2 linked regions of the Diceros bicornis minor genome follow. The protein of the gene in region 1 interacts with the protein of each later gene in a biochemical or structural test. Links are inferred from orthologs where the notes say so. Each region holds a gene or a part of one and is shown on either strand. Other genes may lie near its edges. The genes, in order: RNH1 and ANG.

The links.
Region 2: the proteins of RNH1 (region 1) and ANG are reported together in a solved structure, tested with the Homo sapiens proteins (3 studies listed by BioGRID and IntAct, with this or other methods). The link is inferred for Diceros bicornis minor from reciprocal best matches to the Homo sapiens genes RNH1 and ANG.

What each region holds. Positions count from the first base shown.
Region 1 is NC_080770.1:333,845-337,753, reverse strand, and holds the start of RNH1 (ribonuclease inhibitor), read left to right. Parts: upstream 1-1,271; 5' UTR 1,272-1,663; coding exon 1,664-1,686; intron 1,687-3,909. UniProt on the Homo sapiens protein: Ribonuclease inhibitor which inhibits RNASE1, RNASE2 and angiogenin (ANG). May play a role in redox homeostasis. Required to inhibit the cytotoxic tRNA ribonuclease activity of ANG in the cytoplasm in absence of stress.
Region 2 is NC_080744.1:28,543,346-28,547,254, reverse strand, and holds the start of ANG (angiogenin), read left to right. Parts: upstream 1-1,521; 5' UTR 1,522-1,600; intron 1,601-3,909. UniProt on the Homo sapiens protein: Secreted ribonuclease that can either promote or restrict cell proliferation of target cells, depending on the context. Endocytosed in target cells via its receptor PLXNB2 and translocates to the cytoplasm or nucleus.

The sequences.
Region 1 (3,909 bases):
TCGGCAGGGACTGCTGTGCAGAAACTCGGGAGCCAGACTTCGCTCCAAGTCACCGAGCCGAGCCCCCTGACAGCCACGCCAACGTCACGGCCAGACGACTTCACGCCCTCACGGTGCCCAACGTCCGAGGCCCGCCCACGGAGCGCGCCCGCCAACCACGCTTCCCAGCCCGCCCAGACCACCGCTCCTCCCCGCCGCCACGTGGGCGCGAGGAGTCCACCCCCAAAGGCTGCGCCCGCCCCGTTGGCCACGCCCATGCCCACCCGGCCCCGTCCTCCAGCCACGCCCCCCGCCGGCTCGGCCCCGCCCCACCGCCCGTCCCAACGATGCAGCCAGACCTCGCCCCGCCCCCGCGCGCCAGGCCCCGCCCCCGCCCTCCCATCCAGGCCCCGCCCCACCGCCAGTCCAAACGCGGCAGCCAGACCTCGCCCCGCCCCGCGCTCCAGGGCCCGCCCCACCACCAGTCCCGGCAGGACAGCCAGACCTCGCCCGCCAGGCCCCGCCCCCGCCCTCCGGGCCCCGCCCCCCCCGCCGGTCCTGACACGGCAGCCAGACCTCGCCCGCCAGGCCCTGCCCCCACCCCTCCAGTCCCGCCCCCGCCCTCCCTGCCGGAAGTGCGCCGTCTCCCTCCGGTCTCCAGGCCAGTGATAGTCCGTCGTCGTGTCGAGGTCAGCCCTCACCGGCGGCGGCTGTGGTCGGGCCGCCTATGGACGCGCAGGGGCGGTACTGCTGCCATGCTCCCCGGGGGAGAAACGTGCTCGTGAGGCGGGACGTGGGGGCGTGTGGGCGGGGGCGTGTGGGCGGGGGCGTGTGGGCGGGGGGCGTGCGGCGGGGGCGGGGCCCGGGCGGGGCCCGGGCGGGGCCCGGGGGCGGGGCGGGGCCGAGCGGGCCGAGGCAGCGGCGCCTCCTGGAGGCCGTCGGCGCGCCCCGAGGACGTCACAGCACCGAGAGCGCCCCCGCGCGTGCGCACCGCTCAGGCCCTTCTCCCGAGGCACGCTGGGAGGCGCGGCGCGGCGCGCTGGTCTGCGCCTGCGTGGTCCGCTCTGGGTGCCTGTGTCCGCGCGAGTGCGGGGTTCTCCCTGACCCCTGGTCCATTGGCGCCCAGCAAGCTGCAGAAGCAGAGGCTGGCCCAGCCACACTTTCTTCCCCAAATTGAGTAACCTTTGGCCTGTTGCCGCAAAGAACCGACCCCCAGGAAGGACAGCCCTGGCAGAGAGGAGTCGCCCAGGGGGTATTGGGGAAACGGGGGGACGGGGTCTCCATGACGTACGACCAGAGGTGGAGGGACACTCGCACGTGCTTCCAGTGGCCACCCCTCCGAGAGTGCCCGGGAAGAAGCACACCGCAGGCCGGGTGATGACGCGGAGCCCAGTCAGAGGAGCCCTGGGAGGTCACCTGAGAGGCCTGGGGGAGCTGGGTGGACGACTCCCGGGGGCAAGAGGAGAGCGTGACTGGAACAGCGCCTCGTGGGCCGCGGGCTCAGGGTGGTCTCAGGGTTGGCTGAGATGTGCAGGGGGGTCCAGGCACTTTGCGCTATTGGGCTGGCACCTCTCGGTGCCCACGCGGTGCGGAGACACGCGTGCGGGAAAGCTGGTGGACTTCTGCAGCGTTTCCGGAGGGCAGTTGGGCGGCATCTTGGAACCAGGCCGGCCCCCCTTCTAGGATGGGTACCAGGAAGCTAACCAGGTGAGACGAAATGTCGGCCTGTAAGACGGGTTGAGTAAATGGAATACATTCAGAGGCTGGCACACAATGTGGGGTTCACTGCAAGTTAGCTTGTATACATTGTATACCGATCTGTTCTTGAGAGGAAAATGTTATAGCAGCTCCATAATGCGTTCGTCTCCTATTGCGGTAACAATTACCACAGATTCCTTATTTCACAGTTCTGGAGGTTGGAAGTCTGAAATGGGTCTTAGGGGGTTAAAATCGGAGTATCCACAGGGCGGGCTCCTTCCGGAGGCTCCAGGGGAGAATCTACTTCTTGGCCTTTTCCAGTTTCTAGAAGCTGCCTTCCTCCATCTTGAAAGCGCAACCACTCCAACCTCATGGTCACGTCTCCTTGCTGATTTTGACCCTTTCACCTCCCTCTTATAGGGACCCTCATGATTACATTGGTCCTATCCGGGTAATCGAGGACAGTCTCCCCATCTTAAGACCCTTAGCTTAGTCACATCTGCAAAGATCCCTTTGCCATGGAAGGTAACTATTGACAGGTTTGGGGATTAGGACGTGGACACCTTTGGGGGCCATTATTCTGCCTAACATTCCTAATATCTGATTTTTTATTTTTTAAAAATGTGTGTACAGAGTGGGTAGGAGCACGTGAACAGATGTCAGAGCAGTTGTCTCTAGAAGATGGGCATTCTAGCGCTCTTCATTTTCTTTTCTCTGTCTTCTGGTTTTTCTACAAAGAGCATATAATGCTCATGTGACAAAAATCACGATCACGTTGACTGTAGCTCCGGTACACCCAGGGGCCCCCCTCCCCCCTCGCCCCTCTGCCTCACCCACCCTCACCCAACCTCAGGCTGCAGCAGCCTCTGTGGGAAACCCAGGACCTCGCTCATTTCTTGCGTCGAGGGGGAGGAGAGCTGCTGGCTGTCTTCACTCGACAACTTGACACCTTGAACCCACTCGGGGGGAGCTCATGGGTGGGGTTGTCTGGACCTTAGTGGTCTGTCCCTGCGAAGCCACTGGGCTCTCCAGGGCTGCGTTGGTGGTGCGACCCCCTTGTCCATTGGCACCCAGCAAGCTACACAAGCAGGAACCAGCCCAGCCAAATATCCCCAAATTGAGTAACCCTCCACTTTATTCCCCCAAAGAACTGGCCCCCCTTGCAGCAGATCAGCTCGCTGCTCTCTTGTCGCCATCTGCACTGTGCTGCTCCCTGGCGGCCGCCAGGATTAGGCCAGGTCGGCAGTGAGCAGTGTGTGAAACATTCAACCCACCTGTGGGCGGCCACCATAGCCTCAGGCCTCTGCTACCCGTGGCCTGCTCTCGCCTGGGAGTGGACATGCCTGACGTCTGCCCTGACCCTCCAGCACTCCTGATTCCCTTTTATTCTGCATTATTTTTGCCCCTTGGCACTATCCACATTCTAAATACTATTAATTTCCTTTTTTTTTCCCCCGGGGGGGAGATTCGCCCTAAGCTAACATCTATTGCCAATCTTCCTCCTTTTTTCTTCTCCGCCCCCCATCAAAGCCCCAGTATATAGTTGTGTATAGTTGTAAGTTCTGTTTCTTCTGTGTGAGCCGCCACCACAGCATGGCTACTGACAGATGAGTGGTGTGGTTCCACACCCAGGAACTGAACCTGGGCTGCCAAAGCGGAGCTTGCCAAACTTGAACTGCTAGGCCATCAGGGCTGCCTCACTATTAATTTGCTTTTTTTTTTTTTTTCGTGAGGAAGATTGGCTGTAAGCTAACATCCCTTGCCAATCTCTGAGGAAGATTGTCCCTGAGCTAACATCCGTGCCTGTCTTCCTCTATTTTGTACATGGAATGCCACTGCAGCATGGCTTGATGAGCAGTGTGTAGGTCCATGCCTGGGATTCGAACCTGTGAACCCTGGGCTGCCAAAGCAGAGCACATGAACTTAAGCACTAGGCCACTGGGGCAGCCCTACTATTAATTTGCTTTTTAATTTCATGTGTCCCCTTGAGCTCCTAGAGGGCTGAGACCTTTGCCCTGCTTGCTCACTGATGTGGCCCAAGCGCCTAGAACAGTGCCCGGCACACAATAGGTGTTCAGTAAGTGGCGGCTGAATTGAGGAATGCTGTGCAATGCGAGCACGTGGAGCACCCTGTTCTAACACGTGCACATGGCAGCGAGGGGCGCTCTTGAACGGACACCCACAGCCGTGTGCTGGGAGCCCGCAGACGCCCGCAGGGCCGCGTGCTGTCTC
Region 2 (3,909 bases), on another chromosome or scaffold:
AAGACCACTCGTTGGCAAGAACCATATATACATACATACATACGTATGTGCGGGGCTTTAATGTGCTGAACAAAGCCCCTGAGACCTTCAGCCCAAGTGTTCGCCCTCACTCTTCAGACATTCATTCATAGGCCGTTACGAGACAGTTTTAATTCATTTAGCTATTCATATATTTTTATAGTTCCACAAACAGGATTTTGAGCCGGAGCAGGAAAGAGGAATAGGATTTGACGTGAGTTAGGATGAGACTGAGAGAGAGAATTCAAGACCAAGGAAACAACTGAAGCAAATGTGGGGAGATGGAAAACTTCATTCTCATTCGGGGAAACTGCGAGACGTCTGGACTATCCGAACACGCGCCAGACTGGGTCGCCTGCAACCGACTCCGGCTCCCGTACTATGGTGCCCACCAGTCCTGCCCCTAGGATTTTATGCTCGCGCGAGGTAGTAGCAGCCCGACAGATACACTTCCTGCGCGTGCGTCCTGGCCTCGGGACCCTACAGCCTCGCAGCCGAGCTCCGCTCGGGCCCTCGGGCTCCAACCCGATTCCCTCCAGGCTCTCTTCAGGCTCGAGCTCGCGGCTAGACCCGTCCCGGCCGGGCTGGGTGGATCTCAGACACGTGGCCTGAAGTCTGAAAAGCTGCCTCCTCTCACCCCACTTGGCGTCTGGAGGGGTCCAGGACGTGGATCGGGGAGAATAAGCGAAACTAGGGCCAGAGTCAGATGTGAGACTTTATGAAGATGGGAAGAAGAACTAAGCAAGGCAAAAGGTAAATGTCACAAAGGGGAACAAAACCATTGAATGGTGTAGCCAATCGCCGACGGGAAAGTGAAGTTCAGAAGATACGTAGGGAAAACTGTTACACGGCGGCTCGTTGGTCTAGGGGTATGATTCTCGCTTTGGGTGCGAGAGGTCCCGGGTTCAAATCCCGGACGAGCCCGGATCCTCCAGTGTCCTGGTTTTTTTCCCCCCCCCCCCCCTCCTTCTTTGGAAACTACTCATGGAAAAATTGAGCTCTGTACAAACTTTCTCGCGTTCCTAACTGTTCTGCAAAAGAGAGGTGCACTGAATGAACACATGGGAGATGGGGCTGAGGACCTGTGCGGGATGAAACTGCCTGGCTTCCTGGACTCTTCGCCTGCGGACGCCTCGGGGGGGCTGCCTCGCTTCTGGGAGCAGGGGCCGGTATCCCGTGGTCGGCTGTCCTCGGGGGCGGTGTCCCCGCAGCTGCTGCGCGTCGGACTCGCTCCTGGCCCAGGCTGGGACCCGCCCGCCGCGCCTGGGGCGGGGGCTGCTGTGGCGCCTGCTCCAAAGGCGGGTCCAGGCGGAAGGGGCCTCCTCGGGGAAGCCAGGCGGGGTCCCAACAACACAGAGAGGCTCGCACGCCAGGCGTCCACTCCTCGCCAGACCCCTATCCCGTCCGTGTACACACACACGCACGCTGACCCCACGCAGGATCCAAAGCAAGCTTCAAAAGAACATCTTTGCGTTTTCTGCCAGCTCCCCATCATCATATAAGCGAGGAAGAAGCGGCTGAGAAACAAAAACTTCTCTTTCCGCTGTCCTGCCCGTTTCTGCAGCCTTGTTCCGAGGCCGAGGTGGGTTCACACTCCTGCTCCTCCTTCTCCCTGTCGATGGCTTTATCAAGAGTGTTTTGCCTGAGGGAGTCCCTTCTTAGCACAGGCAGTGTGGGGCTCCTCCGGGAGGCTTTTGTGGGACAAGACTGGGGGAGATGAGGAATGGGAAGGAAGGTAAAAGTCCAGTAATAGTACGAGTTCGCGATTCTGCATTCCCACCCCATGTTTACTTCCCGCAGCTGAGCAGAGTTGGCAGCGTCAACGCCCACTGCCTGGAACCTAGGCTCAGAGCGGAGACCACAGAATTGGCGGACTGAAGGGAGACCCGAGGAGGCCTGCACAGGCTCAAAACTAAGGATTCTTTGCTTGGTACCCAGGTTGATCTCCAGGTTTATGAAGCAGGTCTTGTCCAGTTTGTGCCAGCGTAACCGACATTTGGGGCCTGGTGTTTTCGTTTCTTGTTTACTTTCCTCTGTCTCCCCACCCTTAACCCACCCTCAGCCAATGTTGTGAAATTCTTGGAGACTCTTTGCCAACAGACTCGTCTCTAAGCTTTCTTACTGGAACGTTGGGATCCTCAGCTTTCTTCCTCTGAAACAGCACATCAAATGGTGACAACACGAAGGCAAAACAGAACATCTTTCTTTAGGAAGGACAGTAGAAACAGTTTCAGCACGGTTCTGGGGACTAGGGAAATCTCAAATGAGCCAAGACCCTCCCTCTGTGTCATTAAGAACCTTATAATGGAGTCATAAATGTAATCACTAGAAACCCAAGTGACATAATTATCTGAGCAGCACATGGCCAGTTTGCCAGAAGCAGCCTCAGGTATTCCAAGAGCTACTTAACTACACAGTTACTAACTAGTTAGTGCAGAAGGATAATTTGGTTTCAGACGATTTATTTCAAGCAGCTCTTTTACAAATAAAAGGGAGAGTGAAATATTTTTGAACTTTATGGAAATATTCAATGTAGGTTTCCCTTAAACAGCAATTTTCAGTGGCACCTTTAAAATTAGCTTTGATTTTCTAGAAATTACTAGTATGGAATACAAAAGCTGTGTGGTGCATTGGAAAGATTCTAGTCCCAGGAACACTAGATGTTCCTTGGGCAATACATATTCTCTTTCTCTTTCTCTGTTGCTCATCCGTAAAATGAGGGATTGACAGATGGTCCCTGAAGTCCATCTCTTTCTTATTCTATGACTGCGTTGGGTGGCAGGGTGTTAGTAACATGACTCTTATACAAAAGAAGGTACTCCAGTAATGTGGGGAAGAACTATAGTTTAGTAGAGAGGATGGGCAAAACCATTCCAGGAAGGGGAATGGCTCTGGCTATTGTTGAAAGAGCAGATGTCAGGTTATAAGCAGGTAACAGAGATTTGTCAAGTTATTGTTGGAAACATTTGCCAGTGTGATTCATAAATTAAAATAGATAGATAAGAAAGTAGATCAAAGCAGGCCAGCGAAACCCCTCTTTAGAAGTTTGTATTTAATCTGTATTTGAGCAAAGAGCAATTTCTGTAAATAGTTACTCTCAGAAGAACACCTCAAAATACCTAGGAAAGAAAGAATGGGCACAAAGCCCAGAATTTGTTGAAAAGTGAATGTTTAATTTTTATCTTTGTTTGGAAATATAGGCATGTCAGCAGGACTTTGTCCCGATTCTCTCTCAATAAATAGTGCCCCCCCTTCCTGGAGGCTGAGGCATGATCCTTCTTTTCACGTGAGCTTCATCCTCTTTTAACCATTACTTCTGTCACTAAATAAGTTTCATGTTTATAGACCTAAATGTTAGAGTTATAAAGGAACTTAGAGATTAGGCACTTCCCTCCATCACCTAATTTTATAATTAGTCTTAAGGACAGAATTAAACATGTGTCCTCAGTATAAAGGGGGAAAGTACACCAGCAGTAGAGCCTTAGAAGGAGAACTCATGCTTTCTGTGTCTGTGTGCAGGGAGACTAGTGGCTTGAAGAAGAGACATAGAAAAACATTTCAGGAGAAGGGGAATGACTTTTAAGTTCAGGCCGTCAGAACATTTTTTTAAATATATGAGCACTTTTTTTCAATTGGCAATTGCTTCATACGTATTAAAATTACCGACAGAGATATGATGTTCATTAATCATAGACTATAATTCCTTGTTGTATTTTGAAACACAAATGCCTAAGCACTTAGATGCATTTTAATGAAAGAGTAAAACTTTTTTCCCCCAAACCTTATTTTCTATTTCGTCATAACCTCATTGTGCCAAGCTGAAAAGAAAAACAATTAGAACAAAAGCAGCCATTCACCATTCACCTACCTGAGTTTTTGCATTGTCAACTG